4 linked regions of the Cricetulus griseus genome follow. The protein of the gene in region 1 purifies or fractionates together with the protein of each later gene. This does not show direct contact. Links are inferred from orthologs where the notes say so. Each region holds a gene or a part of one and is shown in the gene's direction. Other genes may lie near its edges.

Region 1 (7,454 bases):
ACTTTTGGTCTTTCTTGAATCTTCAATCCCTCAGGTTATGAAATAATCATTTATGCAGTCAAAAATTTGCCATTCTTGTTGCCAGGTGTGGTGATGATTCGGGGAAGCAGAAGCAGGCAGATCTCTGTGAATGAGGCCAGCCTGGTCTACAAAGTGAGTCCCAGGACAGTCAGGCCTGTTACACAGAGAAACCTTGAAAAAAAAAAGATAATATGTACTGTTGTATTACCCCAATATATAAGGCTAAACCATTAGAAGCACAACACTGTTAAGTACGGAAAATAATATCTAGTGTGGTACAGTTACTACTACTATAATACACTAATATAGCTGTGGGAAACTAGTTCCAAAGATGAATTACTAACCAGTGTTTCCAAGGAAATAAATGAAAGCAGAGAGATTAGTTCTATTGCTAGTGTTTCATTTTCGTATATTTCTTACAATTTCTCTTGTTACAAATAGGCACTAGGGTATCAAGATAATTTTAACGACTGGCTGAGAACCCTAGAAAATCTCTGTGAAAAAGGGATTTGTGAAATGAGAGAGGGTAATGTGGCCATTATAGAAAAGGCTTTTGTGTGCCTTGCATGCATAGACCCTGTGTTTGATCTCTTAACACCCTCCTTGACCAGAAAAAGCTTCTGTGGATAGAAAATGATTAGTTATATATACTTTTAGGGAAACGTAGTTCTGGATTCTTTGGTTACAATTAACAGAATTAAGTGCAAACAAAGCCAGAAACCTCCTGATAAATGAGAAAACCTGCTTGTAGAAGGTTGTAAGGCTCTGTAATATAGGAATTAGGAGAAAAGAAACCTGTGTGGTGGGGCACGTCTGTAATCCCAGCATTGGGAAGTAGAGGTAGAAGATTAGAAATCAAAGGCCAGCCTCAGCAACACAGTGAGTTTGAGGCCACCCTGAACTACATCAGGTTCTGTCTCCTTTCTTTTTTTTTTTTTTTTCTTTTCTTTTTTTGGTTTCTCTGTGTAGTTTTGGAGCCTATCCTGGCACTAGCTCTGAAGAGCAGGCTGGCCTCGAACTCAGAGATCAGCCAGCCTCTGCTGGGATTAAAGGTATGCACCACCAACGCCCCAGGTTTTGTCTCAAACAAACAAAAATAACATCAGGAGGTGGTGAGAGGGCTCAGTGGTCACAGGCATTCTCTGCAAAGCCTGACTCTGAGTTGGATCCTTTAGAGCTACATGGTTGAGGGAAGAGAACTGACTCCTGGAAGGTGTCCTCTGGTCCCCACACATAGCTATACACAGCATGTGCATTCACACACACTAAATAATGCTATTTTTAAAAAAATTAAAAACAACAACAGTTTGGGTTGTGAAAACTAGAACTAGATAATAGGTAAGAATCAAGTATCATGTAAATTTGCTTTCAACTCATCCCAAAATTTGTTTTATATTTCAGTTTTTTTCCTTCCTAGCTTGACTGTGGAGTCTTGTCCGGAAGCAAATAGTTCCTTTGCAGATCCCACATGTGGACACCGGACAGTAGGTCCTCAAATGCTCCTTATTAGGTTGGTTCAATAATATCAATTGTTTGTTACTAGGCAGTGATGTTGTACATCTGGAGGAGATCTCTTGAGCCCATAATCAGGTTATTAGGAATAAATACTCTAAGGCTAAAAATGTAGCTTAGTGATAAGAGTGCTTGCCTGGTGTGCTGAGACCCTCGGTTCCATCTCCACAACCCCATATTCCATTACAAAATACCTTTTCACCGTCCCTAGCATTAAGAAACAAAACAACAAAGAAGTTTTTCTTTCTTCTGAGATCCTGCCCGGAGAGGCATTTAAAACTGGCCAGGGCCAAAAAAAAAAAAAAAAAAAAAGAAAAAAAAGAAAAGAAAACAGGCTAGGGCCGGCATGGTGGCGCACGCCTTTAATCCCAGCACGCAGGAGGCAGAGGCAGGGCGGATCTCTGTGAGTTTGAGGTCAGCCTGGTCTACCTAGTGAGTTTCAGGGCACCCAGGGCTAAAGAGACTGTCTCAAAAACAAAACAGCCACACAATCAGAACCACAGCAAAACGCAGTTATGATCCTTGGAACTGTAGGAATGACAAGCATTTAAATAATAGGACGAGCCATTTTTGAGAAGCTCTGATTTCACAAGTGTCAGGGATGGGCTCTGGGCGAGTAAGATTGCTAATGCTGGCCTCTAAATGAGACCACGTGGAGTTGATTAGATTCTTTTCATGTTCCTCGTGCTCTATCAAATAACTGTACCCAAATACACACACACACACACACACACACAATGCGCGCACACACAAAATCCTTTTTTAGCTTAAGAAGCCCAGAATCAGAAGTAAAGCTAACTGTGGGACTTAAGTATTATTCTGAACGGAACTCCCAGGGCGTGAAGCGCGCTTCAGGCTTCCAGAGAAGCAGCTGGCGCTGGATGGAATGAACCAAGAGGCCAGCACAGGGGCAGATCCGTCGAGCTCTCGGCCACCGAGCTGAGCCCTTAGGTTCTGGGGCTGGGAAGGGTCCCTAGGATTGTGCACCTCTCCCGCGGGGGACAAGCAGGGGGATGGCGGGGCTGACGTCGGGAGGTGGCCTCCACGGGAAGGGACACCCGGATCTCGACACAGCCTTGGCAGTGGAGTCAGGAAGGGTAGGGACAGATTCTGGACGCCCTCTTGGCCAGCTCCTCACCGCCCCACCCCCGACTGGAGCCGAGAGTAATTCATACAAAAGGAGGGATCGCCTTCGCCCCTGGGAATCCCAGGGACCGTCGCTAAATTCTGGCCGGCCTCCCAGCCCGGAACCGCTGTGCCCGCCCAGCGCGGCGGGAGGAGCCTGCGCCTAGGGCGGATCGCGGGTCGGCGGGAGAGCACAAGCCCACAGTCCCCGGCGGTGGGGGAGGGGCGCGCTGAGCGGGGGCCCGGGAGCCAGCGCGGGGCAAACTGGGAAAGTGGTGTCGTGTGCTGGCTCCGCCCTCTTCCCGAGGGTGGGGGAGAACGGTATAAAAGTGCGGTAGTCGCGTTGGACGTTCTTTTTCGCAACGGGTTTGCCGTCAGAACGCAGGTGAGTGGCGGGTGTGGCCTCCGCGGGCCCGGGCTCCCTCCTTTGAGCGGGGTCGGGCCGCCGTGCGGGTGTCGTCGGCCGGGCTTCTCTGCGAGCGTTCCCGCCCTGGATGGCGGGCTGTGCGGGAGGGCGAGGGGGGGAGGCCTGGCGGCGGCCCCGGAGCCTCGCCTCGTGTCGGGCGTGAGGCCTAGCGTGGCTTCCGCCCCGCCGCGTGCCACCGCGGCCGCGCTTTGCTGTCTGCCCGGCTGCCCTCGATTGCCTGCCCGCGGCCCGGGCCAACAAAGGGAGGGCGTGGAGCTGGCTGGTAGGGAGCCCCGTAGTCCGCATGTCGGGCAGGGAGAGCGGCAGCAGTCGGGGGGGGGACCGGGCCCGCCCGTCCCGCAGCACATGTCCGACGCCGCCTGGACGGGTAGCGGCCTGTGTCCTGATAAGGCGGCCGGGCGGTGGGTTTTAGATGCCGGGTTCAGGTGGCCCCGGGTCCCGGCCCGGTCTGGCCAGTACCCCGTAGTGGCTTAGCTCCGAGGAGGGCGAGGCCCGCCCGCCCGGCACCAGTTGCGTGCGCGGAAAGATGGCCGCTCCCGGGCCCTGTAGCAAGGAGCTCAAAATGGAGGACGCGGCAGCCCGGCGGAGCGGGGCGGGTGAGTCACCCACACAAAGGAAGAGGGCCTTGCCCCTCGCCGGCCGCTGCTTCCTGTGACCCCGTGGTGTACCGGCCGCACTTCAGTCACCCCGGGCGCTCTTTCGGAGCACCGCTGGCCTCCGCTGGGGGAGGGGATCTGTCTAATGGCGTTGGAGTTTGCTCACATTTGGTGGGTGGAGACTGTAGCCAGGCCAGCCTGGCCATGGAAGTAATTCTTGGAATTTGCCCATTTTGAGTTTGGAGCGAAGCTGATTGACAAAGCTGCTTAGCCGTTCAAAGGTATTCTTCGAACTTTTTTTTTAAGGTGTTGTGAAAACCACCGCTAATTCAAATCCAACATGGGAAAGGAAAAGACTCATATCAACATCGTTGTCATTGGACACGTAGATTCAGGCAAGTCCACCACAACCGGCCACCTGATCTACAAATGTGGTGGAATCGACAAACGAACCATCGAAAAGTTTGAGAAGGAGGCTGCCGAGGCAAGTATTCGAAGGGAAAAGGTCGGGGGGGGTGGAAATCTACCGTAAGCAGGAAATTGTTTATTTAGAAACTAGATGTTTTGAGTGTACTAACTGCGAATCACTGAACAGATGGGAAAAGGCTCCTTCAAGTATGCCTGGGTCTTGGACAAACTGAAAGCTGAGCGTGAGCGTGGTATCACTATTGACATCTCCCTGTGGAAATTTGAGACCAGCAAATACTATGTGACCATCATTGATGCCCCAGGACACAGAGACTTTATTAAAAACATGATTACTGGCACTTCTCAGGTTTGTGAAATTTACTACCTTCTGACCCTTACCTCCAGCTGGAAAGCTTTGTTATTAACGGGAGGTAACTTTTTCTTAGGCTGACTGTGCTGTCCTGATTGTTGCTGCTGGTGTTGGTGAATTTGAGGCTGGTATCTCCAAGAATGGGCAGACCCGTGAGCATGCCCTTCTGGCTTACACCCTGGGTGTGAAACAGCTAATTGTTGGTGTTAACAAAATGGATTCCACCGAGCCACCTTACAGCCAGAAGAGATACGAGGAAATTGTGAAGGAAGTCAGCACCTACATTAAGAAAATTGGCTACAACCCTGACACAGTAGCATTTGTGCCAATTTCTGGTTGGAATGGTGACAACATGCTGGAGCCTAGTGCTAATGTAAGTGACTTGAAGAAGGTGGTTAAATGGAAAAGCTGTAAGGGGGGAGAGATTATAAAACATTTGGCTACTCTGCATTTCAGATGCCTTGGTTCAAGGGATGGAAAGTCACCCGTAAAGATGGCAGTGCCAGTGGTACCACACTGCTGGAAGCTTTGGATTGTATCCTGCCACCAACTCGTCCCACTGACAAGCCACTGCGACTGCCCCTCCAGGATGTCTATAAAATTGGTGGTAAGTAGAGCATTCGGACACTGGACTAAGATGTTTTGAGGTGTGTTCAGTTGTCTTCACCTTATATACTGTAAATGTTTTTAGGTATTGGGACTGTTCCTGTGGGCCGAGTAGAGACTGGTGTTTTAAAACCTGGAATGGTGGTTACCTTTGCTCCAGTCAACGTTACAACAGAAGTAAAGTCTGTTGAAATGCACCATGAAGCTTTGAGTGAAGCTCTTCCTGGAGACAATGTGGGCTTCAATGTAAAGAACGTGTCTGTCAAAGATGTCAGACGTGGCAACGTTGCTGGTGACAGCAAAAATGACCCACCAATGGAAGCAGCCGGCTTCACTGCTCAGGTAAACAAGATAGGTGTCAAGAGTGTAATATTGATAGCAGCATGCAAAACCTGAAGGCAAGATTTAACCAAATGCTGTTTCTTTCAGGTGATTATCCTGAACCATCCAGGCCAAATTAGTGCTGGCTATGCTCCTGTACTGGATTGTCACACAGCTCACATAGCATGCAAGTTTGCTGAGCTTAAGGAGAAGATTGATCGCCGTTCTGGTAAGAAGCTGGAAGATGGCCCTAAATTCTTGAAATCTGGTGATGCAGCCATCGTTGATATGGTTCCTGGCAAGCCCATGTGTGTTGAGAGCTTCTCTGACTATCCTCCACTGGGTAAGTAGAACTTAAGTTTCTGTTGCACTGAGTATTGTTTGGATATGAAATGCTGTATGAACAAGTGCTCATAACTGTTTCTGTGTAGGTCGTTTTGCTGTTCGTGACATGAGGCAGACAGTTGCTGTGGGTGTCATCAAAGCTGTGGACAAGAAGGCTGCTGGAGCGGGCAAAGTCACCAAGTCGGCCCAGAAAGCTCAGAAGGCTAAATGAATATTACCCCTAACACCTGCCACCCCAGTCTTAATCAGTGGTGGAAGAACGGTCTCAGAACTGTTTGTCTCAATTGGCCATTTAAGTTTAATAGTGAAAGACTGGTTAATGATAACAATGCATCGGAAAACCTTCAGGAGGAAAGGAGAATGTTTTGTGGAACATTTTTGTGTGTGTGGCAGTTTTAAGTTATTAGTTTTCAAAATCAGTACTTTTTAATGGAAACAACTTGACCAAAAATCTGTCACAGAATTTTGAGACCCATTAAAATACAAGTTTAATGAGAAGTCTGTCTCTGTTAATGCTGAAGTCATTACTAAGTGCTTAGCTTAGCAAGGTATGTGGATGCCCATTTGTGTTCCAAGGGATTGGACTGTTCATCAGGACCCAGAGCTGAGTTTCAAGGGCTCAAGAGATGGCTTATTACCTGTGGGTGTCTTGAAGGTTCTGGTTGGGACAAATTAGGAATGTTTTTGGCAGACATGGTGACTACCCTTCATCTGGGTGAGTTCAGTTGATTTGTCTTGAGCCTTTGGGGTTTACACAAGTAAATGACATCATACAGTTAGTGTATTGTTAGTGAATATTAATATATGAGGCAGGCTTTGCTCTAGCAATTTTAGAACTAGTTTTCAGGAAAGGGTTCATCTTGTGCATTGGATGTTTGATTCTATCACTTAGAGTTTAAACTGAAAGTGCTCAAGAGGTTTTATTTAGGCTGGGATATAAATAAGCCTTTCTGTAGCTTGTAATGGTATCAGGAATTTAAAAGGCCATCTGGGGCACAAAGATTAAGCAGAAAAGGTAGAAGGTGAGATTGGGGGACTTTGAGTACTTCACACACTTTAATGTGTGAGTGCTTTAGTGCATATAGTACAACTGCCAGATAAGGGCATCCACATCTGATTGTTTGGAAGGCACCTTGTGGTTTCTGGGAATTCAGAATTGGGAGAAAAAGTGCTCCCAACCGCTGAAGCCCTTGGTAATCTGCAGGGTGTTTATTTAGCAGGAGATAAGGACAAAAAGTTATAGTGTGGAGTTGGTTGAGTTGGTAGATGTCATTACAACAGGTGGTCTTAAATTGGGTTAGGAGTCACTTTGAAATACCTGGGCCATAAGCAAAGTGGCATTTTCACCTTTCAGGAGAAACTGGTACACTTATCCATTCTATAGTGCATGCTTGTTCAATTGGGCTGATGACTAAACCGGTGACTAAAGGTTTGTCAGTATAAATGGATGGGTTGTAGGCAGACGGTGAGGAATTACTATACCTGCAAGGAGTCATTGCCTGATCTGCCTGGAAAGGGGCAGGATTGAGTCTCAGAAGGTGTACACCATAGGATATGGAAAAATTTGTCACGCCTAGCATTCAACTTAGTGGTGTAGCGCCACCTACTGGCACTTTAAAAGCTTAGCATAGAGGAGCATGTGTGTTAGGAGCTCGGATGGGATCCAGGGCCTCAAGGTTTGCATGTAAATAAAAGCCCTTTACCAAATTAACTACATACCAGC
Region 2 (7,652 bases), on another chromosome or scaffold:
CAAGTCAGACAATGTGGTAGAGCTAAAGGAATTTCAGGAATGATTAACACTCAGTGGCTTCACAGTAACACATCTATTCATCCAGCTCCCCCTGCAAACTCCTTTCATGATGTATGTCCTGTGTGTTCTGTGTCTTCTTAGTTCATTTAAAGAGCTATCTTTATTTTTTCTGTGTGTTTCTTTTTGAGACAAGGTTTTGCTATGTATCCCTGACTGGCCTAGACCTCTATGTATAAGAGGCTGGCCTTAAATTCAGAGACTCTGACAGAATTAGAAAAAAACATCCTGAGTGAGATAACACAGACTCAGAAAGACAAATATAGAATGTACTCATTCATGAGTGAATACCAGATATAAACCAAAGTATACCCAGCCTACAACCCACAACCCCAGAGAAGCTAGATCCCTCTTCCAGAAATGGATGGAAGCAGATGCAGAGATCTACAGCTAACCATCGGGTGGACCTCCTGGAGTACAATCCAAGTGAGGGAGGAGCTATAGTATAAACAAAGAGTCGAGACCGTGATGGGAAAACCCATAGAATCAGCTGACCAGAACTAGTGAGAGATTGACTCCATACTGACAACTGGGAAACTGGCATAGGACCAAACTAGACCCCCTGGATACAGGTGACAATGGTGTGCCTTGGGTAGTATATGAGGCCACTGGTAGTGGGACCAAGATCTAACTCTAATGCATAAACTGACTTAGTGGAGCTCATTTTCTATGGAGAGATACCTTGCTCAGCCTAGACATGGCGGGGGAGATTTGGAGGGGAGCTTGGTCCTGCCTCAACAAGGGGATGGGACAGACTTAGCTGACATCCTAGGGGAGACCTTACCCTCTCTGAGGAGTGGATGGGAGGTGTGGTGGGGGGAAGGAGGGGAAAGCAGGAAGAGAGGAGGGAGGGGAAACTGAGATTGGAATGTTATAAGCAAATAAATAAATGAAATACAAAATCAGGTGTTAAAAACATTCATAGAGGGCTGGAGAATACTGTGGTATTCAGCACAGTAACAGTATGTGCAGGTTTGGAGCCTAGAAGTAGTAAGCTCAGTATAGCTTCAGTAACAGGCTACCCCATCTAGGTTTGTGTAATTACCATATATAATATTCACACAATAACAACATTGTCCAATGCCTTTCTTAAAACTATATGCATAGTACTCAAGACATATTGTTGACTCCTCCCTTCAGTCTCATCATCTTGTCTTTTATAACCTTCATTGCTACCTGAGACTTCCTGATATCATTGATGGTGCTTTGTGTCCCTACTAAAAGTTGATTTCATCACTGTGGCTTTCCTGTTTAAAGTAGGACCTTGTGTAGCTGAGCATGGTGGCTCATCCCTTCTATCTTCAGCACTTGAGGGGTAGAAGCAACAGAATTGCTCAGATTTCCAGGCCAAAGTGGCCTGGCGTTGGTGGCGCACACCTTTAATCCCAGCACTTGAGAGGCAGGCGGATCTCTGTGAGTTCAAGAACAGCCTGGTCTACAAGAGCAAGTTCCAGGACAGCCTCCAAAGCCACAGAGAAATCCTGTCTCGAAAAACCCAAAAAATTTTAAAAAAATAAAGAAGAAACCAAAATTGGAGCTGGAGAGATGGCTCAGAGGTTAAGAGAACTAGCCGCTCTACCAGAGGTCCAGAGTTCGATTCCCAGTAACCACATGGTGGCTCACAACCTTATCTATGATGGGGTCTGGTGTCCTCTTCTGGCATGCAGGCAGAATACTGTATCCATAATAAGTAAATAAATCTTTTTTTGTTTGTTTTTGTTTTTGTTTTTTGAGACAGGGTTTCTGTGTGTAGCTTTGGAGCCTATCCTAGCACTCACTCTATAGATCTGCCTGCCTCTCAAGCGCTGGGATTAAAGGTGAGTGCCACCAACGCCCAGCATAAATCTTTAAAACAAACAAACAAAACAAAATTTAAAAGACCTGATACATACTCAAGATATTTGTTGAATAATGAATAAGTATGTCCTCAGTATCTTAATTAACTGTAGATTTCTAGCATCCCATAGGGAATTTGTTAACACATAATAAATGAATGACAGTTTTAACATGGGAGGCAGAACTTGGACAAACACATACAGGCAGGCCCAGCCAGGCTGTCACACATTTTCTTTGTGCACGTTAAAGCTGTGGTGTTGTTTCTGGAAGTATTGCCCTGCTCAGCAATGACATTAACAACACTCCATTACTCTCCAATAAGTATCTCTTTTAAAAGGATATGTGACATTACAAATATAACTCTTTTGTTGTCCTGTTGTGGGAACTGGAACACCACGGCGTTCTACTTCTACCTCCCAAGTCCTAGGATTATAGGACTAATAAAAATATAAAAAATTCAAGGTGATATATTTCAGTCATGCCTCTGCTAGTTTAGGAGATAGAACCATGGAGGCCTGCACTAAACGTGGGAGCATGTTGTTTAGCTCGATGGAAATGAGCGGTAAGATTATCAGAATGCCTCATCCAAATTCAAGTCCAGCCACTACAGATAAACTAGTTTAACTGTAGTTCAAGCAGCCAAATTGGGATAGGAAATGGGGAGAAAGGGACGACATTTAGGACTGGCTGGTTAGGAGAGGTAATATGGCATCTCCCAGGCTCTTAATTAAGCGTTCTCCATCTCTTTCTGGTGAGAAAGCGAAGGCAGAGCTGCAGAATGTCTGTTAGGTCTGGGGCAGAACATTCAAGCCTCTTCTCTCCCCATCAAATCATTTCCCAAACTCATTGGGAACTCGGCTGGTGCCCGGGCTCTGGGAAACCTGGCCGCAGGCCTCCAGGACACTGCCACACCGCGTAGCCCCAAAGCTGGCCACCACCAGAGGAAGGCCCGTGTGGAGTCTCGGGTTTCCACAGACCCGCCCAAGCCCCTTCCATCGCAGCACCGGAGGGCAGCGCTGTGAGAATGGACCAGGTGCAAGTCCCGGCAAAGAAGGGCAGCCACCGCCCCAGATGAAGGAATCAGGCCAAGAGGGTGCCCTGAAGGCGAGCAGCGTGAAACCTCACGGACATTCCCACCGGCTGTCTCACATAGTTCGGCCCCGCCGGGCCCCGCCTCAAGCCTACTCCCCAGCGGAGGGCGAAGAACATCCGCCTGCGCCTTTAAGGGGCGTGGCGAAGGCTCCGCCCCTTCCACCCGCGCGCGCCAATAAGGGGAGGGGTGCGGGAGGAGGAGCCTGAGGTGGGGAGCAGGAGGCGACGTGTGACCCGGTGCGCAAGCGCAGTTGCCGGGTGTTCGTGTGTTTCCAAAATGGCGGCAGCGATGGATGTGGATACCCCCAGCGGCACCAACAGCGGCGCGGGCAAGAAGCGCTTTGAAGTGAAAAAGGTTGGGTCTGGCCAGCACTTTCCTCAGGGAAGCTAGAGAGGTGTGGATATGGCTGGCAGGCCCCAGGACGAGCGGGGCGCGGGGGAAAGAGCTTCATTTCAGGGCGTTCCTGGGACCGGGTACCACGAAAAGGAAGCTGGGGGGCGGGCTTTAGGATTGATGGGCATGATGGTGACCCAGTCTCTGAGGCCATATAAGTTTCGCTGGGGTAGCTGAGGGGCCAATCGCAGGATGTCTTACTGAAATACTCTGCGTCGACTTGGTTGCGGGAGCCAAGCGCTTGAGCTGTCACTGAATTGACTGAGAGGTGGGGGAAGGACAGGGTGGGGTGGGTGGAATGGAGGCTCTCGGAGAGACTGCGGCGGGTGGAGGATGGGGCAGTGCGGAGAAAGCCGGGAGCGTGAGCCCCTACCGCAGAGGAGGCTCTCAGGAGCCCTGTCGGTCGGTGTTCTCCTTGCCCCGCCCCTTCCTGGATCCTTGAGTCTATTGACTCGGAGAGACCTGGTGTGGGTCCTCGATTGTATGGAGGCCTCCATTAGGCTCTAAGGCCCTAGTCTCGAGTATAAGACTTGGTTCTTCAGAAATGTCTACTGCTTGTCACGTATAGGTTTTGCCAGTCCCATAGTTCTGTAACGTCCGGATACCCTTCTATCAAAATCAGTAGTTACAAAGCTTCGTGGGCTTTGTTTTAAAAGCAAGCCCAGAACTTGTGGCATTTAGGAAAGTGGAATACTAATTGTTCATGATTTGGGAGCAGGAAAGCAAAAATGTCGAAAGTCTTTTTGCATGCTGTTCCCTTCATAGTTTGCCAACAGTTTGAGAGAAAGGTGTCAGTTCCTACCTCAGAATACATAAATCTGTAAAAATGAAGATATTGTAGTCGGAGAGATGTTTTCATGTATTTTTGGAGCGTGTCGCTGAGCACACCCTCCACCCCACCCCCCTTTTCTGGCATCTCATTGTGGCCATTGCTGCTCAGTTACAGCCAGCAGCCATATTGAAGAATAGAAGTAATCGTTTTTTTTTCAACCCCCCGAGTTGATGCTGTGGTATAAAAAGTGATGTAGAAGTTACTGAACTTCTGAGACTTGAATTTGAAAGAGCCCTTGAAAGGGGTGTCTGTCAATATGTATGTATAATTGCAGAAGCCAGTTGAACTACTTTTAGATCGACTTGCTTACTAGAATTAATAGTTTGGACATATAAAAGTTGACAACATCAGTTTCCAGGATAAGAGGGAAAGAAAATTGTAGTGGATTCTACTTTGCCATGAATTAATCTGTTAAGATTTAAGTGATGACCTTGTTCTGTGTACTGAAGCTAGGTAGGTAACTGGCTATCCGGCTTATCCCACGATTATCCACATTATGATCCTGTCATCATTTTACTCCATTCTGTTCACCTCCTTATGTGTCCAAAACTGCTTGAAGAGCAGAGACTTCTGCAGATTTTGAGTCCTTCCACAACTGCCAGGGAAAGCTCCACAATAATTCAAGTTTGTACTTCTTTAAATCTAAAACCGGTGTTTAAAAAATATTTCTAATTTGCTTACATTGGTTGGACTAGCTAAATTATTTTACACTATAGACAGAAAATTGAAGCATCCCATGTTTACATCTTCAGATGAATGAGGAAGCATACATGTGGTTTGCTGTTGTCCTCTGATGTAGTACAAATAGTATAATCCAAAAACATTCTTTCTTTGATAGCCCCTAAGGCCAGGGAGTTGGTAGCTTGAACTGAAACCTGAAATCCTGTTACATTACTAGGAAAATGCATTGTTAACCCCCTTTGTCTTTGCAGTGGAATGCAGTAGCCCTCTGGGCCTGGGATATTGTGGTTGATAACTGTGCCATCTGCAGGAACCACATTATGGATCTTTGTAAGTAACTCAGGGAGGACGGAGAGAAATGGAAAAGGTTACAGAAATGGTGGTCATCCTGATGTGACCAATTTTCTTCTTTACAAGTAGATAGATACAAAGCAGGGTCAAAACCCTTGGGCATGAGTGCATCTCATCCGTTGGTGTGTTTGAAATAAATTTATTTTGTTCTTTGAGACACAGTTTCTCTGTGTAGCCTTGGCTGTACTAGAACTACTTTGTATACCAGCTGGCCTCAAACTCAGATCCATCTTCTTCTGCCTCCTGAGGTCTGGGATTAAATGCCTGAGCCACCAGTACTCAGCTCCACTCAAAATTATTTTTATTATTAAGTTAAATAGTTAAAACTATTTTTCGACGGGCGGGCGTTGGTGGCACATGCCTTTAATCCCAGCACTTGGGAGGCAGAGGCAGGCAGATCTCTGTGAGTTCAAGGCCAGCCTGGTCTTCAGAGCGAGTGCCAGGATAGGCTCCAAAGCTACACAGAGAAACCCTGTCTCAAAAAACCAAAACAAAACAAAACAAAACAAAAAACAATTTGCCCAAACGGTTGCTATCAACCGTTTCAAATAAAGTTATTTTTTTAAATAATGTCTTAGGAGGCATCCCCAGGTCTCAGAATAAATTATTCATTGTAAAGCCAACAAGATCCCATTTAGAATGAGTTATAGGAAGAGATGTTGTTTCTTCCCATCTTACACAGACACAATAGTGAAAGAAAGTGACCTTTGAAGGTAGATAAACCGTGCATACCTGTAATTCCAGCATTTGGGAGGCAGTAACAGGAGTATTGTGGCAAATTACAGGCCGCCAGGGCTAAAGTTTGAGCTTCAGTACTCTTATCTGAGCTAGGTTTTGTTGAGCAAGATTTACAGTCACAGGCTGGAGGAATGGTTCAGCAGTTAAGAGCACTGGCTGCTTTTCTAGAGGTCTGAGTTTTAATTCCCAGCAACCACATGGAGGCTTAACATGGCCTATCACTTCAGTCTCAGGTTAGTCAAAGTCCACTTCTGGCCTCCAACAGACCAGGTATCCTCTGGTGCAGGCAAAATACCCAAGCACATTAAATAAGTGAATATATTATAAATTAAATTTACAGCCAGCCATATATAATCTAAAATTGTGTATTTGCTGGTCTAAACAGCATCTCTGTGTATGTCTTTGTGTGTGTGTGTGATATATGTGTGTATATCACACACACACACACATTCTTTACATTTACTCATGTACACATAGGCTACTGGCAATTCTCTCAGATATTCCTAAGAATATGCCATAGTGCCCCTTTATGTTTATCATTTATTTAGGTGGTCCTCTTTTTTAACTGTTATTTACTGCTCTAACATATTGTCTAATACATACTAAAATTGCACTGAATATTTGCTAGATGAGTAACAAAAAAACAAATATTTAACAGTCTGTGATCACTTGGAAAGCATGAATCAAAAGATTTGTGTTAGAAAGCACATGTGCTGCCGGGCGTTGGTGGCACACGCCTTTACTCCCAGCACTCGGGAGGCAGAGGCAGGTGGATGTCTGTGAGTTCAAGACCAGCCTGGTCGACAAGAGCTAGTTCCAGGACAGCCTCCAAAGCCACAGGGAAACCCTGTCTCGAAAAACCAAAAGAAAGAAAAAAAGCACATGTGCCTTTTGCTGGTTGTTGTTGATGACTTAGAGTTTCTTTGAACTTTGACCTTTTCTTTTTTATACTATAGTGAAAGCAGATCAGCAGCTGCAATGTTTAATGTAGATGGGAGGAGCCCATCACTGAAACAGCATGGCTTAAATACGAGTGGAGTCTCTGGTTGTGTAAATGCAGTCTGTCCCTTGTATGATCATAAGTTGCACTAGAGAGGATCTTACGTCCTTGGAACTGATATCCTTCTTACCTTCCTTTATTTAAGTCATTTTGTGTCTCTACATTCCAGAGAACATACTTCTTGGGAGGACAAACGAACTCTAGTATGTTTTTTTCCCCACTAGATACTTACATTGTCTAATAATATGTTGTGTGTGTTTTGTTTTTGTTTATTTGTTTGTGTTTCTCTGAAGCTTTGGAGCTTGTTCTGGAACTCGGATCTGTGTGCCACCACCCTCCCGAATTTGTTATAAAAATTTTTATTTATTTTATATATATGAGTGCTCTATCTGCATGTATGCCTTTATGCCAGAAGAGGCCATCACTTCCCACTAGCGATGGTTGTGAGCCTTTATGTGGGTTCTGAGAATTGAACTCAGGACCTCTGGAAAAGCAGCCAATGCTCTTAATCGCTGAGCATCTCTCCAGCCCCTTGTTTTTGTTCTGTGTAGCCCTGGCTATCTTGAAACTTGCTCTGTAGACCAGTCTGGCCTTGAACTCATATCCTCCTGCCTCAGGGGTTAAGTGCCCTGTTTATCTTTATTGTTTTTTAGGGTTTTTATTTTGTTTTG
Region 3 (7,758 bases), on another chromosome or scaffold:
AGCTTTACAGCAATGGTCCTCCATTGGACCTGGTGTTACAGGACTATAATCTCAGTTACTTGGGACACCAAGACAGCAGGATCACATTTCCAGGCCTGCCTAGACCATGAGTGAGTTCAATGTCAGCCTGGATAACTTGTTGAGATCCTATCTCAAAAAACAGAAAGGTGACTGGAGAGGCTCAGCAGTTTAAAGCACTCATTGCTCTTGCAGAGGACTTGGCTTCAATTCCCAGCACCCACATGGTGGTACACAGCCATCCATAACTGCAGTTACTCATGTCTTCCTCTGATCTCTGCATGCACCAGCATACACAGGGCACATGCATACATGAAGGCAAAACATTCATATACAGAAAAGAAAATATAAATTATTTTTTTTGTTATTTTTGTTTTTTGAGATAGGGTTTCTGTATGTAGCCCTGGCTGTTTTAGAACTCACTCTGTAGAGCAGGCTGGCCTTAAACTCAGAGATCTACCTGTCTCTGCCTCCTGAGTCATGGTGGGATTAATGGTATGTGCTACCACTTCCAGGTGTGGAAGCATTTTTTTAGTTGAGGCTCTTCCCTCCTTTCAAATGACTTCAGCTTGCATCAAGTTGACATAAAACTGCAGCACAGCCTCTAATATCATAATTTTTCTTTTGGAATTTTTAAGTTTTGTTTAGTCAGTTGGTTTTTGTTTAGTTTTGGTGACGGGATCTCATGTAGCTCAGGCTGACCTTAAACTCCTGATCCTCCTGCCTTTATCTCCAAACTGCTGTTATTACAGGGATGTATGTACAAGATGACTAGTTTGTTGTGTTTGTTTTTTCCTTTTAAAGGAAAAAAATTATGTGATTAGAAAGTATCAACATTAAAAAATGAGTAAAAAAGTTTCAATAGCAGTAGCAGAAGTAATAGAAAATAGTACAAAAACTAAAATTTTTTCTTTTTTTTAATTAAAAAAATTAAGTGTAAGTGTATTATATTTTACCTGTATGTATGTCTGTTCACTATGTGCATGCTTGATGCCCAGAGAGGCCATGACTGGGTGTCAGATCCCCTGGAACTGGAATTACAACCAGTCATATAGTTTTTAGGAATCAAACAAGGTTCTCTAGAAGAACAGCCAGGATTCTTAACCACTGAGCCACCTCTCCAGCTAATCTTGAATTCATGTCCTTCTGCCTCTACCTCTTCAACATACCCTATTGGCATGTGCTACCACACGTGGCTTTTGGCTATACAGAGACCAGGCTGGCCTGAATCCCACAGAGAGAGATTCATCCACAGGCCTTTGCCTCTTAAGTGCAGAGATTAAAGGCACTACCATTCCAGATGAAATAGAATCCTAAACTCTAAAGCCTATAGTTATCACAGATGACCTATAATTAAAAATTCATTAATTTACAACTCATTTCACTTAATTCCTTAATAACAGTAATTACAATTTTCAATACTGAATTTGAAGACATCAAGTCTGGTGTCTGTAAATAATTTCTGGTAAATCAGTTATTGTTTGTTTATCTAGAAAGCAGATCTACAATACCAAGGTCAGTAATTACCAATAATAAAAACAAAGAAAAAATTGCAATAAAAACTGACTTCAACTTCAATGGGCATTGACAATCAGATGTAAAGTGCTCTTCGCTTGTGGTCCTTTTCTTTACGAACATCACACCATACATTTATTTTACTGTTCTATTTACTAAACTTGGGCTAAGCATGTAGCTTTAGTGGAGGACCACTTCTTCAGCCTACACTGGGCTGTATCCCAAACACAAATAAACAAACAAGCCCCCAAAACTAAGTTCCTGGAGAATTTTGGTAGCTACTAGACTTTAAGTTCCTTGACAAGAAATCTGACTATTCCCATTTTCTGGCACAGTACCCTTACAAAAACAAGTCACCAAATTCCAGGATGAGCAGTACATACTCCATTAGCAAAAAGTACTGATGGGGCCAGCGTGGTGGCCCATGGCCATAATCCCAGCACTGGGGAACTTGAAGCATTTGATGTCAGCCTGAGCTACATGATATAAAACCTACATAGACAGTTCGAGGATAACCTGGTTTATACAGCATACAGTTTGTTTTGTTGTGGTGTTTTGCTTTGGTGGTATTTGATTTTTGAGACAGATCTCATAAACCTCAGAATGACCTCAAATTTGCTATGAAGACAAGGATCAACTTGGGACTCCTAAACTTCAGATCTCCACTTCCCAAAAAGCACCAGGATTATAAACATGAACCACGACATCCAGATTGGTATATGTTTCTTGTTGCTGCTTTTTACATTCATTTATTTACTTTGTGTGTGCTAGCATACATTAACTGCGGTGGGGCTCGTGCAGATGAAAGCCAAAGAACAACTTTTGGGAGTCAGCTCTCTCCTTTCACGTGTGGGTTCTAGGAATTGAACTCAGGTTGTCAGGCATGACAGCAAGCACCTTGCCAGCCCTGGAATGTATTCCAAACAGGAACAAAAATAGCTACTCAAGCTAGGGATGTAGTTCAGTTAGTAGAGTCCTTACCTAGCATAAAGTCCTGGGTTCAATCCTCTGTCTCGGCCTCCCCAGTGCCGGGATTATAGACAAGCACCACCGCACCTGGCCCATATCTTGGCTGTGACTTAGACAAACAACTTTCTAAAAGTTGCTGATGCTCTAGCTCAGAACACTCCATTTAATGCAAAACTCAGTGAAAGAAAAGAAAAGAAACCCCCCCCAGGAAAAACGAAACCTAATGTTTACAATTCAGTTTGACTTTGTATCTCAAGACCTTGAAGACACTGCAGCTTCCTGATTTGCGGCTGGGCCCCGAGCAAACTTTTTAAGATTCATTTTTTTTAAAACTTATGTGTGCATGTGCATGTCTGTGTGGGGCTCATGTAAGTGCAGGTGCTCACAATCTAGAAGAGGGTGGCAACCTCCTAGGGCACAGTGACAGGCAGTTGTGAGTCTTCTGAACTGGACACTGAGAACCGAATTCGGATCCTCTCTGCAAGGTACTTGAAAAACCGCTTAGCTAACCAGCCCCGGCTAACTTTTAAAAAGTTGTGGGGAGATTTCCCCGTCAGTAGAATAAATAAATTACTACCCAACATGGTCAATGAACTAGACAAAAACAAACAGTAGTGTGGACAGCTGCAAGACAGCAACTAACCAATGATGCCTAAGGTTTAAGTCCTTCGTGACACTGGGGCATGAGCCGGTCTCCTGTCAAGGCCACCTCCTGCTTTCCCCTGCAGAGAAAGCAGCTCGCAAGCCCGAGTTCCCAAAGGTCTGCTCCTCTTCCTCCCTCTGCTTCACCGGCCGGTTCTCCCGGGTTCCCGCGGTGGCGGGGCGGGAGGCGGTACCCAGTCAAGGACAAGAGGGGAATGACTTCTCTGACCTAAAGGATACAATGCTGCCAAGAAATGGAACCCGGCTTGAAGCCCTTCAGCCTTCCCACCTAAACACGCCCTCACCTTTTCTCCGGAGCCCACTAGGCTGCTCCGCGGACTGGTCCGGATCTCTCTGACCCCTCAATACCGGGCCGCTAAGTCAATATGGCGGCCCCGGCTAACTCCGTCACAGGAACTGGAGGACGGAGAGCCAAGAGGGACGAAAAACCCAGGCTCGACAATTTTTTTTTTTTTTTCCCCCTCTTTGGACTTGTTCGGCAATTTCCGGCAACCCGAGCGAGAGTCGGGAGGAAGCGGAGGGGACGACTTGGACCCGCAGTTCCGCCGGAAGTAGCTGAGGCCTTGAGGCCGAGCGCTTTCGCTCAACTCCGGCTCTTCGGGGGGCGTTTCCCTTAGTTTCGGAATCCTTGTAGGTAGGCCTTTTAAAATGCCTCTTTTATTAATTTCTCTCCGGTCCCAAGGAAAAGCCCGCGGACAACCTGTGGGCCGTTTGATTCCCAAGTCCCGGCTTTACGTGGAGGGACGAGACTAGGAATGTCCTTTGACCTTTAACCTCTAGCCGGTGCAGTGGAGGGAAACGCCTCCGTCTCTATATAAGGACTTTTCCGGCCGGCCCGGGCCCTTTTTCCCTTAGCGCCGGCCGCGGGCTTCTGGCGCTCTCTCTCTCTCTCTCTGTCTCTCCCTCTCCCTCCCTGCTGCTGCCGGCCTCCGGGATCCAACCGACGCCATGGGTTTCGGAGACCTGAAAACCCCCGCGGGCCTCCAGGTGCTCAATGATTACCTGGCGGACAAGAGCTACATCGAGGGGTGAGTCTGGAGGCCGGGGCCACGTGGCGCGGGCTCGGCGGGAGGAAGGGGGGGGTGGGAGCCGAGCCTGGGTCTCCCGGGGCCCGGATGCTGCCGGAGCAGGACCTCCCGGCAGGGGCTGCAAGCGGAATCATTGAAACAGGCTTGGTGGCCGCGTGGCCGCGTTCAACCAAGTTCTTCCGCGTCTCCGCCGAGTTAGGAAATCTAAACCTGGTTTGGTGGCTGGCCCGATGGCAGATGGTAGCTTTTGAGGTCTGTCCAGATACGTGGCAGATGCTGTTGGTTTGTGGAGATTCGAACACGTGTTCGGTGCACTTTATAGTTAAAAGCAACTAAAGCAACTTGTTAGCCCTGCAGTAGTTCCCACTAGTTAGTCTGACGGGTGTAGAGCTTGTCCTATACTAGCTGGTGTTCGTGTCTTTTCTTTAAGAGGTGTGTGCACTTTGTTTTTTGTGTCACCGGCAGGTACGTGCCATCGCAAGCAGATGTGGCCGTCTTTGAAGCCGTCTCTGGTCCTCCGCCCGCTGACCTGTGTCATGCTCTGCGCTGGTATAACCACATCAAGTCTTACGAGAAAGAGAAAGCCAGGTAAAAAATGTCTTGGTGCCACCTGGGTTTTCACATGGTAAACTAGGACCTAGGTTAAGTTACTTAGCTTTGTTGGGCTTGGGTAAGCTGAATTTCTTTGTGACCTTAAAAGGCCAAGAGACTGAAGCCCTCCGTTTTCTCACGGAACAGGTAGAACATGGACAACAGCAATTCAACTTTACCCCACACCTCTCTGCCAGTATGCTTGGACCTGGGGGGGCCATCGCTGGGGTGAGAGGGTAGCTCATTCATTCAGTCCCTGGCCATTCTTCTGAAACTACCAGCAAGCAAGGGTGGAGAGTTTGGGGAAGTGGACTCCAGTTAACTAAGAATGGAAGTGAGCATACTTAATGAAATCCCAAACAGAGATGTTCATTCTGAAAGAGTTAAACCATAGTGAGTATTGAGTATGATGTCTCCCGTGGTACTAATGTTTGTTGGAGGAAGAGCTAGACACATAACATCTTTACCTGGGATTGTTTGTGCTAAAGGATAAATAACCAGAATAGAAGAGATTGAGTGTTACTGGGAAAGAAAGGTTGTGTGTTTTGCCCAGAAAAGAATATGACACCCGACCTAATATTGGTAGAATGTTTGTTTTCAAGCCTGCCAGGAGTGAAGAAATCTCTGGGCAAGTATGGCCCTGCCAGTGTGGAAGACACCACAGGAAGTGGAACTGCGGATGCTAAAGATGATGATGACATTGATCTCTTCGGATCAGATGATGAGGAGGTATGGCTGACCTCATATAGAGTATGTTGATAAGGCAGCGTAAGTGTAGTATAAGTATAGCTGTGTAGTCACTCCCTGGAGTTGACCCCTGGCTTTGCTTTGTTATCTGCCTTTAAAAAGATATCACTGGGTATATGATGAATAAAATCAAATCACCATCTTTCGGCTGAGCTCCTGATGGATTTGCTTTTTTCTGATAAATCTGGTCTCTTTTTTTGTAATGACCCTGTCACTGTGTTTAAGCAGAAGATAACCAACTTTGTGAAATTTTTGTTTCCTATACAGGAAAGCGAAGAAGCAAAGAGGCTCCGAGAAGAGCGCCTTGCACAGTATGAATCAAAGAAAGCTAAAAGTAGGTAATTTTACAGTTGTTTACCTTCATTGGTAAATAATAATGTGAGTGGTGGTCTTTTCCAAAGCTTGACCCTAAAGTGGTTTTTTTTCCAGTTTCATTGAATGGGTCGGTATTTTTAAGAGTCTTCAATAAACATCTTTCCTTATGGAACATCCACAGCTACTGGTCTACAACTGTTCATATGATAGCAGCTGTAGCATTCCTCTGTGGGAAAGAAACTGTTACACAATTTAATGCCTCTTTCTTAGCCAAATTGAAAGAGGAATATGCGTGACAGACACAAGGTAAATTCTGTATGTTTTTTCAGCAAGAAGATGTCTGTTTTGAAACAAGTTGAGATTTGGCCTACGGTAAAGGTGTTTAGTAGAGTGCTTAAGTATAATGCATTTCTTAATCTTTTTTAGAGCCTGCGGTTGTTGCCAAGTCTTCCATCTTACTAGATGTGAAGCCTTGGGATGATGAGACAGACATGACAAAATTAGAGGAGTGTGTCAGAAGCATTCAAGCAGATGGCTTGGTGTGGGGCTCTTGTAAGTTTACTGATGGGTTTTGAAGTTGAAATTCATGTACATTTTCAATGTTTTCCCATCAATAAGAATTTCCTAACTTTTTTCCCTTGTTCTTTTTTTAGCCAAGTTGGTTCCGGTGGGATATGGAATTAAAAAGCTTCAGATCCAGTGTGTAGTTGAAGATGACAAAGTTGGAACAGATATGCTAGAGGAGCAGATTACTGCCTTTGAGGACTACGTGCAGTCCATGGATGTGGCTGCTTTTAACAAAATTTAAAACCATCCTTGGTCAGTGCACTTGAATAAAATCTCAAACAACCCTTGACTCTACATTCTATTGTGAGAAATGGTGGTGTGTGTGTCTTCATTTGGGGGAAAGGATTCAGTGGCTATGTAATTCCTAAGTAATGAAAACTTGGCTGGAAAGACAGATAAAGCACCAGGTCAAGCCCACTTGGCCATGCTTGATTGACCAGCCAGAGTTTAACCCTCAGGACCCACAAGGAAGAGGACTGACTCCTAGAAGTTGTATTTTAGCCAATGTGTTTTTCACATACCATATGACTACACACATTAAAAAAAAACAACTGATGTGTTATTAAACATTTAGCAATTATAGTTAATTTTGTAGCCTTTGTTGATAAAATTCTGTGGCTGTCAGCAGCAACACATGGTGCTGATGAATATGGTCTATTGTGAACAGACGTCTTCAAGATTGCTTTTTTGAAAAATTGACTTTTGGCCAGTAAGATGGTTCAGCCAGTAAGGGTACTCATAACACACATTTACCGCTTGGGTTCGGTCCCTAGAACCTGGGTGGGAAGTAGAATGCAGACTTTGGAAAGTGCTCCTCTGACCTTGACATGCACAGCACTCAGTCACAGAAGTATTTTCTTCATCAGTGTTAATGTATGTGCCACATGAATGCCTGCCTGGGGAATTCATAAAAGGTTATTGGGTCCCTTGGAACTGGAGTTACAGATGGGTGTTAGCGACTATGTAGGTGTTGGTGCCCAGGTTGTCAAATATTCCTAATTGCTGAGCAATCTCTAGCTCCCTCCTTCCCTTTTCTATGCCACTGTACCAGAGGAGGTGAGTCATAACGTCCATTTACAAATGTCACGTATTCATTCAGCTACAGAGGATGGGCCTATTGTTAGAAGTGTGATCTGATGCTAGGGATTGTACTGCCCTGGAAGTACACCATTGAACACATCAGCCATTTTGGCTTCATGTTAAATACCAAATGTAGTTACTATTGTTTTTACAGTTTGGATGTTGTGTCTTTAAAGCTTGCTGTATTTTGTAGATAGAATTCAGAAGGATAAATAATCCAGGGTTATTTCGCTCAACCAGCCAGTACTCTTGCTATCAATCTAGT
Region 4 (7,714 bases), on another chromosome or scaffold:
AAGGATATTAGGTCTGAAGAATTCCTACACCATAACAACTTTGTGTCTCCATTGTCCCAGGCTGGCCTTGTACAACTCCCGTTTCCTGAATCTCTGCTCTGAGATGGATGGTCGAGTCCGGCCTCTGGTGTATACCGTACGCTGCTGGGCTCAGCATAATGGGCTGTCAGGTGAGAATGAGGAGAGCACAGACTTGGCCCGAGCTAGTGTTAGGCAAAGGGAGGGATTTAGGGTGAAAAAAAGGTGGGCACAGGAACCAGGGATTATAAATACTTCTTCCTAACTGGAATTATTGGTTATTATTCAGGGGGCGGCCCCCTTCTCAATAACTACGCCTTGACGTTGCTAGTGATCTACTTCCTTCAGACTAGAGACCCTCCAGTGCTTCCTCCTGTGGCCCAGCTCACCCAGAGATCAGGTAATGCAGAACAGCCTCTACTGTCACCTCCGCAGCCTCTTCTCAACTGTCACCCCACTTTCTACCCGTTCTTCCCCAATTTTCCTACTTCCAGCCTGACCCTCTCTTACTGTCACAGGTGAAGGGGAGCAGGTAGAAGTTGATGGCTGGGACTGTAGTTTCCCCAAGGATGCGTCCCGACTGGAGCCCAGCACCAACCTAGAGCCTCTCAGTGAGTCTGGGGAACCTAGGAGACAACTAACAATAATATTAAGTTCTAGAATAGGCACGGTCTTCACTAACCCCATGACTGTTGTTTTTTTTTTTTGATTTATTTATTATTCTGCCTCTATGTATCATGTATCCCTGCACACCAGAAGAGGGCACTAGATCTCATTACGGATGGCTGTGAGCCACCATGTGGTTGCCAGGAATTGAACTCATGACCTCTGGAAGAGCAGGCATTGCTCTTAACCTCTGAGCCATCTCTCCAGCCCTCATGGTTGCTGTTTTAAGGATGACAAAACCATATCTTGGGCAGCTAAGTAAGAGGTGTATTCCCTAGTTACACTGCTCTCCAGGGCAAGCAGCAGCATCTGGGCAGGACATGGCTGAGGAGCTGGATTTCTCAGGACACTTTTGAAGCCCTAAGAAGGGAAGAAAGTCCTACTGAAGTAGCAGCAGGGATGTCCCAATTATGGCTTCTAAGTGACAGACACCCTTTTCCTAATCTGCCTTTTCCAGGTTCTCTGCTGGCCCAGTTCTTCTCTTGTGTTTCTTGCTGGGATCTTTCGGGCTCCCTGCTGTCCCTCCGGGAAGGTTGTGCATTGCTGGTGTCAGGGGGCCTGCCTTCTGATCTTTGGGAGGGGCTGCGCCTTGGCCCCATGAATCTCCAGGATCCCTTTGACCTGAGTCACAATGTTGCAGCCAATGTAACCAGCCGGGTGGCCAGACGTCTGCAGAACTGTTGTGGGGCAGCAGCTAGTTACTGCCGAAGCCTCCAGTACCAGCAGCGTTCCTTCCGGGGCCGGGACTGGGGACTACTGCCACTTCTGCAGCCCAGCTCCCCTAGCTCCCTGCTGTCTGCCAAGCTCATCCCCTTACCACCTGCCCCCTTTCCTCAGATCGTTACGGCTCTTGTGCGAGTGTTAAAGGAAGCGCTTGGATGTCATATAGAACAGGGAACCAAGAGGCCCAGGTCAGAGGGTCCCAGGACCAAAGACCCTTCCCTGGGAGGGACAAACAAAAGACAGAGACTAGATGGGCAAGAGAAGAGCTGGGAGGAGGGGAATGAGAAGTCGCAGGGATGTGCAGGGGACCACAGTGAAAATGGGGTGGAAGAAATGGTAATAGAGTTTCGAGAGACGTCTCAGGGCAGGGCCTTGCTGAGCTCTGCACCATCAGGCCAGTTGCCCCTGATGACTTGGAAGTGTCTAGACAAGTTGGCTGAGCAGAAGCCCATGGAACCCGAAGTGGCTGGAGAAGAGTCTCAGGGTGAGACAGGGAAGGAAACATCACACCTCTCATCAGCGAGCTGGCGCTGTGCTTTGTGGCACCAAGTGTGGCAGGGGAGGCGGCGTGCCCGGAGACGATTACAGCAACAAACCAAAGAAGAAGGCAGAGGAGGCACCACCACTGGAGCAGAGTGGCTGGCAATGGAAGCTCGTGTGACCCAGGAACTGAAAGGACCAGACAGTGAGCAACAGAGGCTACAGGGGGAGCCCCTCCTCACCTTTGTGGCATCTGTCTCCCAAGCTGACCAGGCGCTCACTGTGGTACCAGTCCAAGATTCCCAAGGCCTGTTCCCTGGGCTTCATCATTTCCTACAGGTTTTTCTCCCTCAAGCACTTAAAAATCTCCTTGAGTGAGGAGGCGACCTCACAGACAATAAAGCTGGTAGTTTATTTAATACAGACAATGGACAACTGCGATTTCTACCTGGTAACACTTTCTCTCTGTCTTAATGTAGCCTCTGCCCTGCTTGGCCTGACTATCCTAAAACAGTCATTATGTCCACTTCAGAGGTCTTCCCACCTCATACCACATTTATAGGGAGTTCCACACCACAAGACAAAGGCACTGATTTCTGCTGCCTTTTCTACCCTTTAACACTAGAGTGAGTTCAAATTTCCCTTAAGTTGGATACGAGATTTCCAAATTTGGATATGTGTAAATTATTGCATTAGAACTGGTCTACCTTACCCGACCTTCTGGAGCACAGCCCGGCTTGAGAGGTGCAGGTGACATACAAGTTTGCCGGTCCCCTTTGTTGTAGAGTTAACATCAAGGTTGTTTAGTCATCGCAGACCTACTTTCAGATGTTTTCGGCCATGAGCCCTGCCGGACAGACAATCCCTTAATAGAAAAACCCGAACAGGAACAAAAGGAATTTAGTGACTTGCCACTCCTTCCTTGCAGCCCATGTAGTTCCTAGTAGGCTAGAGCTACTAGCGGTTGGGGCGGTGCTTCCGCCGGTTCTCACACTCTCCCCGCCCTCAGTGAGCTCCGTCTCCTATCAGGCTTCCGATTGGTCGGCCACACGGGCGGGGCGGGCTGCCCAGAGCCATACTACGCAGGCGCCAGCTCTTTGCGCTCCAGGCAGTGCGCCCCACCCCGTGCTTTTTCCAACTCAGCGCGGCTGGAGACGGAACTGTCGTGCGTATGCCTTTTATGCCGTCCTCGCTTTCCGGCCGCTGTTTCCGTACGGCTGTCCCCTTACCCCCTCCCTTGTCTCCCTGGCGGCTTACTTTGCGGCAGCACCGACAGCCCCACCCCCTTTCTCTGCGGAATCACCATGGCGGCTGGGGTAAGTTCGCCGGCTCTGGTGATCCAGGTCACTTCATCCACCGCCATCCTTTGACTGAGTCGGGTCAGTCGGCGCCAGGAGAGTTCCAGACCCAAACGGAGAGCCGATCTGGGGTTCGCAGGCCGTACCGCCGGAGAGCAGGGTTCCTAGGGCCTGGAGGGGAACTGAGGCTGGGGCTCGGAGGCCAGAGGTGGAATGTTCTGGGGTTGAGGAGAAGAGATGCTGGGTCTTCAGTGTCTGGATGTTTAAAAAGTGGCTCAGCTGCACTGCCATTTTAAGATGTGGTGTCTGGGTAGGTTGGTGGAACTTTTGCGACCGTTTTGTGGGTCACCGACGGGGACAGTGAAAAAGGAGAGGGTCTTTGTGGGCAGGAGGGACTGGCACAGTTAGGAGTTGTCTTTTGGGGAGGTTTGGGAGCAGAGGAGTCAAGGAACACTGAAGGCAGACCATTTGGACACCTCTGGCCAGGTTTTAGTAGGGAGACAACTGGAAACACTGAAGGACAGGACCAGAGCGATGTTAGTGCTCGGTGAGGAAAAACAGACTTTTTAGGAAGAGGAGTTGATGAGCAGAGCATGCCGCTAGAAATCAACGTGGCCATTCTGAGGGGAACTTTGAAATCCATTGGTCGATGTGTGTGCTTGTGAGGTGCTACCAGCTTGGCTGTGGCCATACACTGGGTCACCACGAATGAATGAAACAAGGGCTCTGGGAGGCAAGGGTGTGTGTATTTGGGCAGATGAAGACTGGTGGGACCACGAAGTTCTGAAGGGAAGAATGCTGCTAGTGATGTCCTTACGGGAGGTCACGTCTGTCAGCAAGCTTTATTTAGCAGCTGGTACGCAGTTCTGTTCTCGCTATTTCAGAGGACTCTGATTACATAGGGCATACTCAGTTAATTTGGTTTACCAGAAGGAGTGGAGATGAATCAAAGGCTTTGAAAGTGTGGGGAGTCGCTTTCAGGATTCTTGTACTCATGTCCATTCTCCACCCTTCCTCTCACAGACCCTGTACACATATCCTGAAAACTGGAGAGCCTTCAAGGCCCTCATCGCTGCTCAGTACAGCGGGGCTCAGGTCCGCGTGCTCTCCGCACCACCCCACTTCCACTTTGGCCAAACCAACCGCACCCCTGAATTTCTCAGAAAGTTTCCTGCTGGCAAGGTGAGTAGAGAAGCAGGGACCCCAAAGAGCCCTAAAATTCTATTATTTTGGACATGGCCTCCATATTCTATTCTTCAACATTGAAGTTACTTTTTAAAGATTTCATGGGGCCAGGGATGAAAGGCCCTGAGTTTGACTGTCCAAGCACCCAGAAGGAAAAATAAAATCATTTTGAAGCCTTCTGGTAATCCTAGCATTCTGGAGACTGAGGCAGGAGGATTGTGTGAGGTCAGTTTATATAATCTAATATGAGCCTTTCTATAAAGGGAAATTCAGAGCAGTTTGGTGACTCTCAGAGTTACAGACCTGCTTTGGATTTGTGGGATGAAATGTATTTGGGCCAATACATACATACTAGGTTTCTTGCAAGTTGGATTCATATCCCAGAGTGCTTGAGTAGAGATAAATATCCAACGCTGAGTATGGAGGACGGCAAATGCTGTATATGTGTGTGTGTGTGTGTGTGTGTGTGTTGTTGTTGTTTGTTTGTTTGTTTTTTGAGACAGGGTTTCTCTGTGTAGCTTTGGACACTATCCTGGCACTCACTCGGTAGACCAGGCTGGCCTCGAACTCACAGAGATCCATCTGCCTCTGCCTCCCCAGTGGTGAGCGCCACCACTGCCCGGCCAAATGCTGTGTGTGGGTTGCACCTAATGCCTTGGGTAGCGGAGTTGTAGGTGGAGGACTGTCTGAAGACATCCATACCTGAGAATATTCTTTATTTTGAGATGGTGTCACACTAGCCCTGGCTGATTTCAGATTCAGACTGGGAATAAGGGTATGAGGCCGTAATTTCACATTTCAGCCATGTTTGAATTCTTAGTCCAGGCACTGGATTCAGATTACGAGAGAGTTACTGATTATTTTTCATATGAGTCTCAGATAATGTTGCAAGTTTGCATAGCAAGGGTTGTCTCAACATTCTTGACAGTTCAATCCCAAGAATTGGCTAGTGAGAAATCCCTGTGTTTTGCTTTTGTCTCTTAACTACTTCGCCCCTAGGTCCCAGCATTTGAGGGGGACGACGGATTCTGTGTGTTTGAGAGCAATGCCATTGCCCATTACGGTAATTTGTGGGGACACAGGATTGAGAGGTTCTGGGGATGAGGCTGTAGAAGTGGCTGGGAGTGACGGCAGTGGACGGGGTGGGATCATAGAGACCTGGGTTGGTTTGGGCATGATCTTTAGGTTCCAAGCTTTATGTTGTGCCTTTGCAGTAAGCAATGAGGACCTTCGTGGAAGTACTCCAGAGGCAGCGGCTCAGGTGGTGCAGTGGGTGAGCTTTGCTGACAGTGACATCGTTCCTCCAGCCAGTACCTGGGTGTTCCCCACCTTGGGCATCATGCACCACAACAAACAGGTATGCTTTGGAACTTGGCAGAGATGGGGTCAACTCCTATATTGGAGGGAAAGATGCCAGTGATGTGTGGCAGTGCAAAGTCGTAAGTGCTCGCCGTCAGTATGGTGGGAAATAGTCATGTCAACTCTGAAGAGACTGAACATGCATGTTTTAGTTCTAATACATTTTCAGGTGATCCTAGATTCTAGTGATAGAGGCTGGGGGTTGAGCCAATGCTGATTAAATGGAAAGGGACTTGGTACCCACTAAACTTGAATATTCAAAACAACAGGCCACTGAAAATGCAAAAGAGGAGGTGAAGCGAATCCTGGGGCTGCTGGACACTCATTTGAAGACAAGGACTTTTTTGGTGGGTGAGCGAGTGACCCTGGCTGATATCACAGTTGTCTGCACCCTTCTGTGGCTCTACAAGCAGGTAAGGTTTGTAAAGAGCCCATTAGACAGGAGATTGACTGGTGCTGGGGTGCCCTGGGTTCTACTTAGGACTCATCAGTTAATGGCTGTAGGAATCCCAGGATTGAGTACGGTGGGTGTTTTCATTTTAGGTGATGTTGCTTAGTTTCTTGAAAATAATGGGTTTAATTTAAAGATGGGTAAGGCTGGGTGTGGTGGCTTACACTTGTAACCTCAGCACTTAAGGTACTGAGGCAGGAGGATCACTCTGGTATGAGGCCAACCTGGGCTGTATAGCGAGATCATAAATTAAAGATAGGTAAGGATGGTCACTGCAGCGTCAAGGGCTTTTGGAGGCAGATCCAAGTCCCTATCCTGGCTTCATTATTTACTGGTACAGATAGAAGGATGTAAGAATTCTCACAGTTCTTTATTTTATTTTACTTTATCTGTGTTAAATTCAAGGTGGTAGTAATCACTGTGTGGTTCCTATGTTTTTTAAAACATTTAAAATTGTTTCATTTATGTGTATTAGCATGTATGTATGTACATATGTGTACCGGTCCTAAGGAGTTTTGAGCTACCAAGTGAGTGCTGGGAATTGAACCAGGGCCATCTAGAAGAACAGCCATCTGTCTGTCTGTGTATATGCATGTATGCCTGTGTGAGGGTGTCAGATCCCCTGGAACTAGAGATACAGACAGCTGTGAGCTGCCATGAACCTGGGTCCTCTGGAAGAGCAGCCAGTGCTCTTAGCTGCTGAGCCATTTCTCCAGCCCCTCAGGTTACTGGTTTTGTTGTTGGGTTTTAAAGAATGTTGTATTGATTTCCAAGCAATAGCTGGGGATCCATTTTGATTCAGAATTGTAGTACAGTAGGAACAAAGAAAAAAGCTCCTACTGTTCTGACCGTATGCCTCACGGGGTTCATTATAATGTTTCTGTGCCTATAGCACACAGCTTGTAAGTACTCAAGTATAACTTGAACCCAAGTATTCAGAACTTGAAGTTCCCAACTTCCTGATTTCTGTGATCTGTCTCCATGACCAGATTTAGCTCTCACCCCCTCCTATTTTTGGCAAACTTGAAAATGACAGGGGCTGGAGAAATAGGCCAACAGTTAATACTTGCTGCACTTACAGAGTACTCCCAGCACCCCCATGATGCCCTAATAGCTGTATCTCCCTTTCCAGGAGATGCGATGCCCTCTGAATTCAGGCTTCTGTGAGCACTAGAATGCATGTGGTGTACAGATATATGTGCAGGCAAAACACCCATATACATAAAAATGGAAGGTAAATTAAGAATTTAAGACAGTGTGTGGCTGAAGAGATGGATCAGCATTTAAGAGCACTCTGCAGAGGATTCAGGTTCAATTCCCAGTACACGCATAGCAGCTTATAACTTTCTTTAACTCCAGCTCAAGGGGAATACAATACCTTCTGGTCTCAGTGGGCACCAGGCTTGCACACGGTGCGCAGATATGCATGGAAACAGAACACTTGTGTAAAAATGAAATAAATGTTAAAATTTTTTAAAAGAGGATAGTGAATTTTTCTGTGAATGAGTTAAAAGAAGGACTGTTCTGATCATAC

The links.
Region 2: the proteins of Eef1a1 (region 1) and Rbx1 purify together in Homo sapiens (affinity purification with western blotting; 3 studies listed by BioGRID, with this or other methods). This does not show direct contact. The link is inferred for Cricetulus griseus from reciprocal best matches to the Homo sapiens genes EEF1A1 and RBX1.
Region 3: the proteins of Eef1a1 (region 1) and Eef1b2 purify together in Homo sapiens (affinity purification with mass spectrometry; 3 studies listed by BioGRID and IntAct, counting the BioPlex papers as one, with this or other methods). This does not show direct contact. The link is inferred for Cricetulus griseus from reciprocal best matches to the Homo sapiens genes EEF1A1 and EEF1B2.
Region 4: the proteins of Eef1a1 (region 1) and Eef1g purify together in Homo sapiens (affinity purification with mass spectrometry; 5 studies listed by BioGRID and IntAct, counting the BioPlex papers as one, with this or other methods). This does not show direct contact. The link is inferred for Cricetulus griseus from reciprocal best matches to the Homo sapiens genes EEF1A1 and EEF1G.

The regions. Positions count from the first base shown.
Region 1 is NC_048597.1:189,543,936-189,551,389, reverse strand, and holds Eef1a1 (elongation factor 1-alpha 1), read left to right. Parts: upstream 1-3,010; 5' UTR 3,011-3,043; intron 3,044-3,987; 5' UTR 3,988-4,021; coding exon 4,022-4,165; intron 4,166-4,276; coding exon 4,277-4,456; intron 4,457-4,535; coding exon 4,536-4,832; intron 4,833-4,915; coding exon 4,916-5,066; intron 5,067-5,150; coding exon 5,151-5,407; intron 5,408-5,494; coding exon 5,495-5,729; intron 5,730-5,817; coding exon 5,818-5,942; 3' UTR 5,943-6,211; downstream 6,212-7,454. UniProt on the Homo sapiens protein: Translation elongation factor that catalyzes the GTP-dependent binding of aminoacyl-tRNA (aa-tRNA) to the A-site of ribosomes during the elongation phase of protein synthesis.
Region 2 is NC_048595.1:378,617,693-378,625,344, forward strand, and holds the start of Rbx1 (E3 ubiquitin-protein ligase RBX1), read left to right. Parts: upstream 1-3,183; 5' UTR 3,184-3,262; coding exon 3,263-3,340; intron 3,341-5,143; coding exon 5,144-5,222; intron 5,223-7,652. UniProt on the Homo sapiens protein: E3 ubiquitin ligase component of multiple cullin-RING-based E3 ubiquitin-protein ligase (CRLs) complexes which mediate the ubiquitination and subsequent proteasomal degradation of target proteins, including proteins involved in cell cycle progression, signal transduction, transcription and transcription-coupled nucleotide excision repair.
Region 3 is NC_048595.1:417,278,219-417,285,976, forward strand, and holds Eef1b2 (elongation factor 1-beta), read left to right. Parts: upstream 1-3,834; 5' UTR 3,835-4,113; coding exon 4,114-4,193; intron 4,194-4,658; coding exon 4,659-4,781; intron 4,782-5,386; coding exon 5,387-5,513; intron 5,514-5,639; exon of another isoform or gene 5,640-5,718; intron 5,719-5,798; coding exon 5,799-5,865; intron 5,866-6,019; exon of another isoform or gene 6,020-6,151; intron 6,152-6,272; coding exon 6,273-6,398; intron 6,399-6,499; coding exon 6,500-6,654; 3' UTR 6,655-6,707; downstream 6,708-7,758. UniProt on the Homo sapiens protein: Catalytic subunit of the guanine nucleotide exchange factor (GEF) (eEF1B subcomplex) of the eukaryotic elongation factor 1 complex (eEF1).
Region 4 is NC_048596.1:51,128,604-51,136,317, reverse strand, and holds the start of Eef1g (elongation factor 1-gamma), read left to right. Parts: upstream 1-3,054; 5' UTR 3,055-3,191; coding exon 3,192-3,203; intron 3,204-4,208; coding exon 4,209-4,367; intron 4,368-5,369; coding exon 5,370-5,433; intron 5,434-5,584; coding exon 5,585-5,727; intron 5,728-5,998; coding exon 5,999-6,142; intron 6,143-7,714. Other genes in the region: Tut1 (speckle targeted PIP5K1A-regulated poly(A) polymerase), read left to right, coding at 61-170, 308-418, 537-629, 1,142-2,265. UniProt on the Homo sapiens protein: Probably plays a role in anchoring the complex to other cellular components.